Linked DNA regions of Saccharomyces cerevisiae S288C. The protein of the gene in region 2 interacts with the protein of the main gene of each other region in a biochemical or structural test. Each region holds a gene or a part of one and is shown on either strand. Other genes may lie near its edges. The genes, in order: HIT1 and BCD1.

What was found.
Region 1: the proteins of BCD1 (region 2) and HIT1 form a complex in vitro, tested with the Saccharomyces cerevisiae proteins (one study listed by BioGRID).

What each region holds. Positions count from the first base shown.
Region 1 is NC_001142.9:531,444-542,046, reverse strand, and holds HIT1 (Hit1p), read right to left. Parts: upstream 3,276-10,603; coding exon 2,781-3,275; downstream 1-2,780. Other genes in the region: YJR056C (uncharacterized protein), read left to right, coding at 1-255; KCH1 (Kch1p), read right to left, coding at 4,498-5,991; BFA1 (Bfa1p), read right to left, coding at 6,296-8,020; UV-damaged DNA-binding protein RAD7, read right to left, coding at 8,288-9,985.
Region 2 is NC_001140.6:186,340-189,524, reverse strand, and holds BCD1 (Bcd1p), read right to left. Parts: upstream 1,602-3,185; coding exon 501-1,601; downstream 1-500. Other genes in the region: SRB2 (Srb2p), read left to right, coding at 1-394; VMA10 (H(+)-transporting V1 sector ATPase subunit G), read left to right, coding at 1,846-1,848, 2,011-2,352; MSC7 (meiotic recombination directing protein), read left to right, coding at 2,716-3,185. UniProt on the Saccharomyces cerevisiae protein: Required for box C/D snoRNAs accumulation involved in snoRNA processing, snoRNA transport to the nucleolus and ribosome biogenesis.

The DNA.
Region 1 (10,603 bases), on a different chromosome or scaffold from region 2:
ATAGCACCTAAATTTAGACTTTCTATGCCGCCTTTAAGTGTCGAACATCCTCCTAGGAATGCTAGTCGTATAAAATCCTGGAAAGCACGAACAATCAATCACGGAAGAGGGGACACGAGAAACCTAAATGACATAACGGGACTTGGACATGAGCGTGAGCGTGATCGTGAAAATACACATTATGAAAAAAAACCGAAATTGGATTCTGATTCAGAAGTAGACATAAGGAGTTTCCGCCAGGATATGGACCTGTAAGAACACCCGGGAAGAGGTTCTCAAGTTAGAAGGAGCCCATTGCATTGTAGGTATAATATCGAAAATATTTAAATATTGTTTTTGAATCTCATATATACATACGTTTCAGAAAGCACATAGAAATAAACTTTCAGTGAGCCAGATGGTGTCTGATAACTTACGATATATGCAAAAAGTATGTTATATGTAACCGCAACAGTAGCCAAAAAAATCTCCGCGACGGGGAATTGAACCCCGATCTGGCACGCGACAAGCGCCCATTCTGACCATTAAACTATCACGGATTTTCTTTCTGTACAAATCTGGATTTTCTGTTATTATATAACAAATCAAAAAAAAGTTCCGAGTAATTAATGTTGAGATATGTTGGAATAAAAATCAACTATCATCTACTAACTAGTATTTACGTTACTAGTATATTATCATATACGGTGTTAGAAGATGACGCAAATGATGAGAAATAGTCATCTAAATTAGTGGAAGCTGAAACGCAAGGATTGATAATGTAATAGGATCAATGAATATTAACATATAAAATGATGATAATAATATTTATAGAATTGTGTAGAATTGCAGATTCCCTTTTATGGATTCCTAAATCCTGGAGGAGAACTTCTAGTACTTTCTACATACCTAATATTATAGCCTTAATCACAATGGAATCCCAACAATTACATCAAAATCCACATTCTCTTTAAGATACTGGTGAATTTTGAGATAATTGGTGGGATTCTATTGTTGGTAAAGGCTATAATATCAGGTATACAGAATATACTAGAAGTTCTCCTCGAGGATATAGGAATCCTCAAAATGGAATCTTTATCTCTATATACTAATATTACGATTATTCCTCATTCCGTTTTATATGTTTCATTATCCTATTACATTATCAATCCTTGCATTTCAGCTTCCTCTAACTTCGATGACAGTTCCTCGTATCTTATGTCATCGTCTAACACCGTATATGATAATATATTGGTAGTGTCCCTATTAGTTGCCAGCCGATAGTTGATTTTTATTCCAACACAAGCATAACTTTTACTATTGTTTCTCTACGTTAAGCAGGAGTAGATAACTCCCCCTACTGCGGTAAGAGCAATACTGATTTACGCTTGGTTTATTTAATTCAAAAATCTGTCCCTTTTTTGTGTATATGTTATTAGATATTACTAAATGTAAAAATTTACGCTGCAATGATACATAATGCCATGCGAAGTTGTGAAAAAATAAACACGTATTGCTCTGAAAAAACTAACTAAATATGTTGATATTAAGTTTATAGTAGGCGAAAAAGAAGTCATAAGAGAGGAACAGATCTCTAAGCATACCAAAAATTACTTCCAGTTAGGAGAGCGTGGTGTTCTCATCCTACTAAAAAGATGTTTCGTGATTCTCCTAGTAGCTTCACATTACTATAATGAAAGCCGAGAAAACAGAAATACCTGCAGCCAGTGTTCGAAAATCGCAATTGACGCTAGCTCTACAGCGCATTTTACCCTAGAATGATCTGTCTCATTTCCAATATCTTCAGCGGCAAGCCGTTACCTATTTTCGTTCATCGATGCTACCAGCAGAACATCGGTATGTCAACTATTACCCAATACATTCCTTCATAATGGCGGACTTGATAAAGAAGAAAATTAAATGCCCAGACTTCTTTGGAGTACTGTGACGAATGATATCGCTTGTAGAAAGTAAGTCAGTAAAGCTATCCAGTCCGAAAGCTGAGCTAAAAAGTCACGTATGTAGTGCTAATACGATAAAAATGAGTGGGAAGAAATATTTGGTATGAATGTGAAGTGGGCAAACTTGCACACTAAATCACTGCATAGTCTATTTCCCGCACTTGACAAATTATAATGATATTTGCATATATTTTATTTATTGAAATTAATATCAAAAATTTCATCCACAACAACAAGTTGCGAGGTAGTTAGCGAAAAACTGAGGATAAAGTGTACCAAATGTTGCTCCAAATCATCCTCTCCTTCAAAATACCTTTTTAGGAGTGGCGCGGGTTTCTCTTACAATATCGAGGTTCGATTTCCCTAAAAGAAAGAATCTACTGATAATATAGAGGTTCTTATGGGGCAGTAGATGACTTCAAATTAAATAATGGGACCTGATTTGTTGCCTTGTTATACTTATTGCTATATATATGTATATATGTACAGTCGCCAAGTTGGACTTCAAGTTAAAAAGAAGACCAAAACGGCCATGAAGATCATAAGATGATGGTGGAACTTTCCCTAATCATATGTAAATACATGGTTCACTTTTATTATAAGGTGTCACAAACTTGCAATAGAAGCGCCTCACACAAAAATTCTGACATAATATCATTATTTTCCAAGTCTGCTTGACGCCTTGCCAGACAAGTGGGAAATCCTTAACGAGAAGAAAAAACCTAAAAGCAACCCGACCCTTTCAACAAGTACTTTGTTATTAGTCCTCACCTTCACTATTATATGGTTAAAAATGAATAAAATGCTCAATCTTAAAAATCATGCTAACAACGATAATTCTTATTTCTTCACCGCATTTAATTTATCTAATAAAATCTGGCAAAATTCCTCAATTGCTTCATTATAATGTATACCACCATATCGTAATGTATTCAAATAATTTACAGCTAGTTCTTTTTGTAGATCGCTGTTCATTTTTCCAGAACTTCCATCGTTAACAGTACTGGACAAAATTCTATAAACCTTTGCCAAATGGAACTTCACCGTGTTGTATTTCAACAGCTCTTGCAATTCTGCGCTATTTTGATATATATCATCGAATGCCTTCGTCTTTAATGTTTTATTCATTGCGAGTGAACTGTTTATGATCTTATCGTTATTAACAACTTCCACATTAGCTTCTGTACCAGCCCTGGGTTGTTCGCTTTCCTTATGAACATGCTTTGCAGCATCTTTATAGCATTTCAAGGAGCAATATCGTACGCCACATTTAGGACATTTATATTTACCATCAACTCCGCGACATATGCCACATTTAACTGCACTAGATACCATTTTTATTCTTAGAGTTTTTTATATAATATGAACCTTCAACTAGTTATTACCACTGTGGCACTCTTTCTGCGGTAAGATTATCTCATCGCAAGGTAATATCGTCTGAATTTTTTCTATAAAGAAACGAAAAAAAAAAAATAATCAACGTTCCGTACGGGACTCGAACCCGCAGTCTTCTCCTTAGGAGGGAGACGCGTTACCATTACGCCAACGGAACCAACTTGGTTGAACTCTAAGAAATATGAGGTACCTAAGTTGCATAGTAATATTATTACGAAGCACTTCAAATTGAATGAATAAACTTCGTGCAGAAAACTTACACGATGGAAATCAATATTGTAGAGAATGTGGATTTTGATGTAATTGTTGGGATTCCATTTTTAATAAGGCAATAATATTAGGTATGTAGATATACTAGAAGTTCTCCTCGAGGATTTAGGAATCCATAAAAGGGAATCTGCAATTCTACACAATTCTATAAATATTATTATCATCATTTTATATGTTAATATTCATTGATCCTATTACATTATCAATCCTTGCGTTTCAGCTTCCACTAATTTAGATGACTATTTCTCATCATTTGCGTCATCTTCTAACACCGTATATGATAATATACTAGTAACGTAAATACTAGTTAGTAGATGATAGTTGATTTTTATTCCAACAAATATCCGCCTCATTTTCTACTTTCGCTTAAGCTGCTGTAATGAACCCCTAAGGTAGTACTCATTTAGTAGTATTCATGTTACTAGTATATTATCACATACTGTGTATGAAGATGACATAATATTGAGAAACAAATATCAAATCTATTGGAAGCTGAAATGCAAGGATTGATAAAATAATAGGATAATATGACAAAATATCAAAGAAGGAATAAAAAAAAGATGTTATTATGTTGAACTAGTGACACCCTTTTGTGGATTCCTACATACCCAGAGAGAACTCCTAGTATATTCTGTATACCTAATATTAAGTCTTTACCAACAATGGAATCTCAGCAACTATAAAAAATTAACCTATCTCTTACAAGCAAATGTTAAAAGGGGTTTTCAAAGAAACTTTCATGGCTGTTATGTTTGTGCTATAACCGGTATCAATCCAATATATGAAAATAGTGTTACAAAAAAAGTATTATTTTTATCAGAAACATACTAACGGCTGTTTCTAATCACGTCTATCTAATTCATGAAATATGCAAAGGGCTTTTGCCAGCCTATTAAGTATAATTATATGTACGATCTTCATCTTCCAGCAAACCCTTCCTCGGAAGATCAGGCTCCCTGAAGTACGCTTTCATTGGTGTATAAATCCTTCCATTATCATTCGAGTCAGCTTTTGAATTAATCGAACTTTTTGTCTGTAAAGGAGGTGGTCTAGGTCTACTACTGTTGCTATTAAAATTACGGATGTTGTTTGTTGTATTTGGCATAGAATCTAATGGCCCGTGAAACTCCATAGAAGTTGTAGATTTTAATTGTCCAGCAGAGTGTATTTTGTTGAAAATGTCAGAAGAAGACAAATCCTCATATTTTGGAGTATTTACGCTTCTGCTTTGTATTTTTGCTTTCTTTATATCATTACTTTCATAGCTGTTGATATATGGTGAATCTAGAATCGCAGAGAATCTAGTGGTATATTGTGGATTGCCATTGTCAACGAACGATTCCATTGTTTCCGTTTTCTTCATTGTGGGAATGGGCCCACATACATCCTGACTTTTGTATTCGGGTCTTCTCTCTATTAGCTCAATCATAGAATCATTATTAGAAGCATATGACGTATCATTAAAAGATGTTTCAATTTTATTTTCAACTTCTTTAAAATCGTCAAAAGTCTGAGATTCGAGAAGACCTGTCTTATAAATCGTGTCATCATTTTCCTTTTTCCTTTGTCTTTCAACAAGTTCATCAACATTTTCGCTGACGGTAACACAAATGTACTCACGCAACCCGCTATATTCCTGATCATTGATTATTTTATAATAAACAAAAATCGAGCAAATGACAGCAAGCAGAAACTTGAAGACAAATAATGCCCAGATTATAAAGGAAAATAGCATCAGCGACAATATCACTGCTTCTTCATGATTGGTCTGGCCAATGTTCTTTATTTTGTTGATCAAACCGGTAAATGATTCCAGATCGCCTAGATCCTCGTTTTTATTTACTGTTACGAGAACTGACCACAGCGTAAGACCATTAATAACTTGCCTTGGGGTATCCGTGAAGATTAATCTAATACAATCTTTCAGTTGAAAAAAAGTAAAAAATGTCATTTTCTGTCGAAAACCCTTTCGTTCGATCATATTATAAACACAAAACTTGGAATAATTGAGCACTGAATTTAGGTTTCTGGAAAAATTGTTGACATAAGTCAAAGAGATATTTCCCGTTTTGTAAATCCTCATTCCCGCTATAGCCTCCCATATCAATAGCACAATCGATGCTAAAATACAACCGCTAAACAACCATTTGGATATTTTAAAGGGTAAGTATGGTTTGATGATGTTGTTTGACCAGGAGTTGAATGCCAGCAATTTGATACATGTGTAAATGTCAGAAACAAAAAGGGCGAGTTTTAATCCATTCCACCCAACTACACCTATTATGTAATTTAAAACAGTTTTGAACTTGTGGTTTCGAAATAATTCAATGTTTAAATCGGCGAAAGTCTTAGAATTAATGGAGTACTTCCAATCATGGTTAAACATTTTTGATTTTCTGTTCCTGCTAGTCAAATATTCATGAAATTACCAAAGTGTTTGCTAAACAAACCATAAAGATCTGTTTTAATAATCATCAAGGGCTCTTTTGTTTGAAATGTTAATGTGTCCCTCATGGTCTATTTTCATTTGAAACATCTATTCGAATTTTCTGCAACATTTCTTTTTCTGTCAGACGCGAAATGTCGGCGAAAAGTTGACACGATTCAAGGTTCTATCTAATTTTGGAATGTAAGAGAAATGAATGTACTCAAGATAACGGTAAAGAAACAGTTATAAGAAGGCTAAAGGGCTAATCTTTTGTCGAATTGATTACCATGTTCCTGATTTCATACATATAGGATTTTCTCTTGCTATTGACCGTACTTTCATCCATGATTGTTTCCTCATCAACACTGATAATGGTCTCATCTCGGGGTATAAACCATGAGGCTAACTTTTTACACCACCTGTTCTCCTCGTGGTAAAATTTTTCCAATGCTCTTGAACTCAAATGGAAAGTAGAGCTTATTTCTGGAGTTTCTGTTGTACCGTTAAGTGTCCTCATTGAATGGTATTTACGGAGTCTTGCTTGAGCAGCCGTACTTTGATAAACGCCATCATTGTCATTTGAAACAAATGGCGTATTAACTTGGCTTTTGGAACGCAAAAATGGTGAGGAGCTACGTTTTTTCATACTTTTGCCAACTGGTGGTAAGTTTATCTCAGGAATGCCTGCAAAAGGGTCTGCTTCTTCCTCTGAAACACTAACCCATCTTAAATTTTGTTCATCTAAAATCATGTTCCCGATGACCTTTTGATTTCTCGAAGTGGCTCTTGCATGCTGTAGATCAGAATATTTTTGCTTCTTAGAATCTGCATCTCGTTGTAGCTTGTTTTTTATCAATAAAGCTTTCCTGTTTGCCGTGTCTACATCACTAAATTTGCTTAAGACGTTTTCATTTCCTTCCCACTTCATAGTTTTCGGGTTATATATCATAGAACCTTTCTTCATTGGAGTATTATGATCAATTTGCTGTTTTATTGTTTTGATTTTAGCTGGACCATTGAGTTGTACATTTTGATTAGAACAGTGTCTTACTGATCGTTTTTCTTTAAAAGAGTCCAGTTCCTGCTGGGTATTCCAATCTCGTTGTCGCCTATGAAGACCTGGAGTTAATAATTCGTCATGCTTTACTATATCATATTGTGCAGGTGATATTTTTAATGGCAAAGATGAGGATGACTTCTTTAAGAAACGCGGATGGTCGGCACTTTCTTTATCGTTCGAAGAAATCGTTTCATCAATTGCTTCACCCTCTAATTCTTCAAATCCTGTCAGAAAGTCACCTTCATCATCTGAACTGAATTTCGCCAAAATTGTGTCCTGCGTATCGTTATCAATCTTGTAATTAAACTCTCGTTGATCTTCTCTTTCTCGTTCTTCGTCCTCTTCTTCTTCTCTGATAGCTGGATTAACTAAAGCTAAGTTAGGCATAGATTTCTTAAATCTTACAGAATTACCAGACCTTAAGTTTCTTGAAGTGACGCTATTTGATAGTTTTCTTTTTGGTTTCAATTCCATCATTGATCTAGGTTGCTTTAGCCTTGGTTTATCTTCCAAACTCAGTTTTCTATCAAACTCTTCTGCGAAAATGTCGTTTTTGAAAGGGCCAGTTCGACATCCATTTCTCAAATGAAAATTTGTTTTAATAGCATCGTCAAAATCATCCTTTTTATTTTGGAATTCCTGGAAGTCATTTAGAAATTCATCATCCTGGTCTACCTCCATGTCCTGATCATCGTCTGCTTGCTTATTAGACCAAAACGCGCTGGTACTATTGGAAAATACCGTGCCAGTGTCAGAAGTACCTACCGAGGATGGAGGCGGTATATAAGTTGATGTACTCAATGGTGGCACGTTTTCTTCCAAAGTTAATGTTTCATGGGATTGAAAGCGAGGTAGAGTTGTATTCAGTTCTTCAAAAGAGGTTTCTGGCTCATCTAAACCGTTTAACGTGAGAGGCCTAATTGACATAGCATACAAAACTTTCAACTGCTACAAAAGTTTTCGAACTTTTTTCTTTACGTCAAACTTCTCGTTTTTTTCCTTTTATCTGCGCTGAATACATAAGTTTACACTTTTTTTTTTACTATTATTGTTTGTTTATTATTCGCGAGATGCCATAAAATCCCTTCAATAGAAAATAAAGGCAACATTTGACGATCTGAGTATAATAGGAATAAAAACATTAGTCAATTTTCCGTTTTCTATCTAATACACGTTTTATATGTCTTTATTTTATTATATACTGTCACTCTGTCTCCCTATCAACGTAAGTCCAGGCCTCATTGTGGCCTTTTCAGTAACCAAATTGTCTCCGAAAACATCAATTACAGTTAAATTCGGATTTTGCTCACCCAACATTTGAATCACCGAGTCATCAACACAACGTACAAAACCAAGATCAAGATACGTCAGATTAGGACAGGCTAACGCCACAAATGCCTCCTTAGTTAGCTCTTTTAATGAATTGAGATTTAAGCTTCTCAGACTATCTCTTGCTCCGTTAAGCAATAGCTCTATAATTGCCATATCGCCCAATTGTAGACATCTTCTAAAGCTGCATTCAATCAAATTATTCAGTTCTACTTTGCTGAAAAAGTACGACAGTGAATCTGTAGTGATCTGATCTGATTCTTCCAAGCTCAATACCTCCAATGGACATTTCTCAGGAATGAATGCAGTCAGACCATTGATTATCATTGAATCTGTCAAGTCAATACAGCCATTCAAAACCAATTTACGTAACGTGCGCCCGATTTGACCTAGCAGATTTATGATGATCTCATCGTTAACATCCTCTTCATTGAATGGATATTCAATACAGAGACTGTGAAATTCGTCGTTGACTAGGTACTGCGGTAATAAAGCGTAATTTGATATAGAATCTAGTCTGGATAACCCTAAGGATACCAAGGTAGAACCGCAGTTGATCAATAAATTAGATAATGATTTGTCGGTGAAGCGGTGCGTATTAGAAATGTGGAACTCTTCTAATCTACCTTTCATTATTACAAAGAACTTCTCCCATGTGTCCTCGTTGATCAGAAATGGTCCATCTAAATTCAGTGATTTCAAGTTCGGAAGCTTTTCAGCAATGTAAAGCAATGATTCATGGTTCAACTGCCCACACATTTGTAGGGATAATTCGGTTAGGTGTGGCGAAAAAATGGCTAGCGTTTTGTAACCATCAAATGAAATTTTAGAACAATCGCTGAAAGTTAACCTTTTTAGATCTGTCTTCAAGAAAAGTTGCAGAGTATGATCATTCAGGGCCCTATTCTTCGATAGTGCTTTTGCCAAATTATTCAAATTAGCGGTTGATACGCCACCAAGGACATCTCTCAATTTGTTAAATACCAACTTTGATGATTCATCAGCCTCTTTTTGCCACTTGGATATATTTTCACTAATTTTCGTAATACAAAGACTTTGTAAGCTGGATACTTTGTTGACGCGTCTATCCAATAGGTCAGCTGCTCTTTTACGCTTTCTGCGACGATTTTGGATAATTTTTGCAGTATTTTGCCTTTTTTTAGTCAATGATTCCCGGTCATTAGCCGAACTTAAACTGACTGGCGTGTCAGAAATGTGGCTAGTTTCATATTCTTCTTCATCACTATCAGCAGGGACTAATTTCATCCTGGCATCGTAGGAAACCTGAGCTCTTTCTGTCTCGGTACCACTACCTGTTCCAATTTCATCAATTTCTTCATCTTCAACTACTCGAGATATCTCGGCAGTAAAGCTATCATCCTCCGCTTTACCTTTTTTTTCGTCTGTTGCATCTTCTTGCTTCTTCGACTGTCGCTGGTACCATTTTTGTTTGATATTTTCAGCACTGATCCCTTCTTCTCTTAAAAATTGAGTCAAGGCAGAATTTGGTCCCTTAACTTCATTTTCTCCACCTCTTTTTGGTCGGTTTCTACTGCGATACATTTCTTCCCCTCTCGTGATTTCTAGATAATAGCTTATACAAAGACACTTCGGAGTTACTCTAGGACTATTTCAGTTTTTTTTCACTAACTTCGTCCCAATCCTTTATTCCATTTTTGCTTCCATAAATAAGTTTTCTTATTTTCCAGAAAAAAAGAAAAGAAACTGCGCAAGCCCGGAATCGAACCGGGGGCCCAACGATGGCAACGTTGGATTTTACCACTAAACCACTTGCGCTCACTAATTGTTAAACGTGTCAATTATGTGTACAGTTACAAAATAATGAAGCACAAGAGACCCTACTATTACGTTAACATAATTTACTGCGCAAGAAGATAATATGAATCGTGTAGAAAAGTCATTCAGTTTGTTAGAAGAGGGAACATTGACATTGATAATGTAAAAGGATAGGCAATGGTGACACTTCAACGCAAAGAAGAAATTGCAGTATTATCGTGTAGAATCATGCTCTCTCTTGTAGATTCCTATATCGTCGGGGAGAAACCTCTACCATATTCTGTAAACCTAATACTATAGCTTTTCCCAACAAGATATATTCTTCATTTGGAACTCCAAAGAAAAGAAAAAATCGTATATCGTTACGGAAAGAAATAGCAAACA
Region 2 (3,185 bases):
GACTGCCGCAGCGGCGGATATCCCTCCGGCGCTGGTGTTCAATGGCTCATCTACGGGCGTTCCTGAGTCCATAGACACTATTTTGTCGTCCAAGCTGTCCAACATCTGGATGCAGAGGCAGCTCATCAAGGGTGATGCCGGTGAGACGTTGATCTTGGACGGGCTCACCGTGCGACTCGTCAACCTCTTCTCCTCCACTGGGTTCAAGGGTCTCCTGATAGAACTGCAGGCGGACGAAGCGGGCGAGTTTGAGACCAAGATTGCAGGCATCGAAGGACACCTAGCTGAAATCCGGGCCAAGGAGTACAAAACCTCATCCGACTCGTTGGGGCCGGACACCAGCAACGAAATATGTGATTTGGCGTACCAGTATGTTCGTGCTCTGGAGCTGTGAGTTCTTACGAATGCTTTTTCTTTTTTTTTTTTTCTGTTTGTATATTGCGGTGTATACGTATAGATAGATAGTCTAAATAGTAATCTTCAACCTTATGTATCTCGGCTCATGCAGTGAGGAAATCCATGGATAAGCCCGGATTGTAGTCATCGTCGCTGTCGCTGTCGCTGTCGCTGGCGTCCTGTGTTTCCTTCTGTACAGGTTCTTCTGTCGGTTGAGAGTCCTCTTCAGCGTCTTCCTCCTCCCTTGCATTGTCAATAAACTTGTTCAGTGTACTCGTATGCTCAAGTGGGCGGGGTTCCTGGTGTAGCACCTCGTAGCCCTCTGGTAGGTCAGCCTCTGTCATGGCAACGAATATCGTGGGAAACTCGATCACTGTGGTGTTCTTCAACAATTCTCCGATGCATTTCTCATGTATAGCCAACTCCACCAGTTTTTTTGAATCCATTATATGCGTGGTGTTGTAAGGGAACGTTTTCGTGTAGAATTTGAGCCCACTCTTCTGTAGGATCTGTGTTCTTTCCTCTTTGGTCTCCGAACCGTCTTCGCCCTCTATGCAAGAGCTTGTTCCAGCCAAGCGATAGAATTCACAGCATTTTTGGAAAACGTTCTTGCCCATCCCTTGCACCAAAAAGTCTGTCTCTTTGATACGGTGGCTGACATGTTTGAAAAGCTCCTTTTTCTCACCCTTTTCCTGCATAGGACATAGAATCCACTCCACGCTCCATACAAATAGGTCCATCGTTTTGTCCCACTTGCTCCTGTTTTGCGATGATCGCTGCATCCCCTTGGGTAGCATCAAACAGTTCACCCCCCTCCTAATTATCCTCTGACACTCCGTGCTATCACGATCATCCTCATCTATATCGTATCTTCTCTTCTTGAAATTAGAGTTGTGGCCGCCCACAGGCCCCAGAACCCGCTTGTTCTTCATTCTAGCATCCATCTTTTGTACATGCACCATTCGCTTCAACTGCGTCAGATAGTTGTAGTCCCTCTGGACATAAGCATTTCGTTCGTGCTTGTCGTCGTCCGCCTGTTTCAACGCCTCACTCGATATATACTCCTTAGGATCATGTGTTTGACCTGAGCAATTGTCCCTTGTCTTGTGCTTCTTGGAACACTCCAAAGAGCAAGTTTGCACCAAACATCTTGGACACTTGTATTTGAACTCTTTTATTCCGCATACACCACACAACACCGCCATACTTGCAAATTGCCACACCCTTCCCTATTAACTGGACTCCTATTCCAGCTCATCTCATCGAATATGAACTTTGACATCCACTATTATTACCGCGAATTTTTTTTTTTTTCAATTTGTTACCCTGCCTTGGGTATCAAAAATTTCATCTCTAAAAGGGAGCGTGATAGATAAAGCAATCACACCTTAAACAATACATTTTTTTTTTTCCTGCAATCTCCAAAGTGTGCAAGGTATACAAAGCAGAATGGTATGTGCCATTACATTACGTGTCAACACTTCTGTCTCTAACAAGCGTTCTTACTAACATGAAAAACTTTTTTAAAACTGTGCTCTCTTGTTGGACTGGTACCTCGTGACAAAGGTATTGGTTTTTTCATTGTTGCTCAGAACTATGTAATATTCTCTTTAGTCCCAAAAAAACGGAATTGCCACCCTACTACAAGCTGAAAAGGAAGCCCACGAAATAGTATCAAAGGCTAGAAAGTACAGACAAGATAAGTTGAAGCAAGCCAAGACTGATGCAGCCAAGGAAATCGACTCATACAAAATTCAAAAAGACAAGGAATTGAAGGAGTTTGAACAAAAGAATGCCGGTGGTGTTGGTGAATTGGAAAAGAAAGCAGAGGCTGGTGTGCAAGGTGAATTAGCTGAGATTAAGAAAATTGCAGAGAAGAAAAAGGATGACGTTGTCAAAATTTTGATCGAGACTGTCATCAAGCCTTCTGCTGAAGTCCATATCAATGCCTTGTAATATTGCATTACATTCTAGTTTTCTAATCATATATCTTTTTATAATATAATACCAATAGAATAAAAATGTATAAACTGACATTGCATTCGGTCTTTACGACTCTCGCTTTATCCATTCAGCCTTTTTTTTTTTTTTTTTTTTTTCTCTATCTGCTAAACGAGTAGTAGTATAATCAAAAATGTGTTATTTAGTATATCGGTTGTAAAGGAGAAAGTATGGTCTCTCTATTTTTATTTTATTAACGAAAAATACTAAACGCCGATGGGGATTACTATATAATTATAATAGTATTTGCAGAATAGTAGAATTCTTTTCACAGTTCACGTTCAGTTTCTCCTCTGTTTTATCGAACGTTTATTCATCATGTCCAAGGTCTATCTGAATTCAGACATGATTAACCATTTGAACTCCACAGTTCAAGCTTACTTTAACTTATGGTTGGAGAAGCAAAACGCAATAATGCGTTCTCAACCCCAAATTATTCAAGATAACCAAAAACTGATAGGCATTACAACGCTAGTTGCCTCAATTTTCACTCTGTATGTTTTGGTCAAGATAATCTCCACCCCAGCAAAGTGTTCCTCGTCCTATAAGCCAGTCAAATTCTCCCTTCCTGCACCAGAGGCCGCTCAAAATAATTGGAAGGGCAAGAGGTCTGTTTCCACTAACATATGGAATCCTGAAGAACCAAACTTTATTCAATGTCATTGTCCCGCCACAGGTCAATATCTAGGTTCTTTTCCATCGAAAACGGAAGCTGACATAGATGAAATGGTTTCTAAGGCAGGCAAAGCTCAATCTACTTGGGGCAATTCTGATTTCTCAAGAAGATT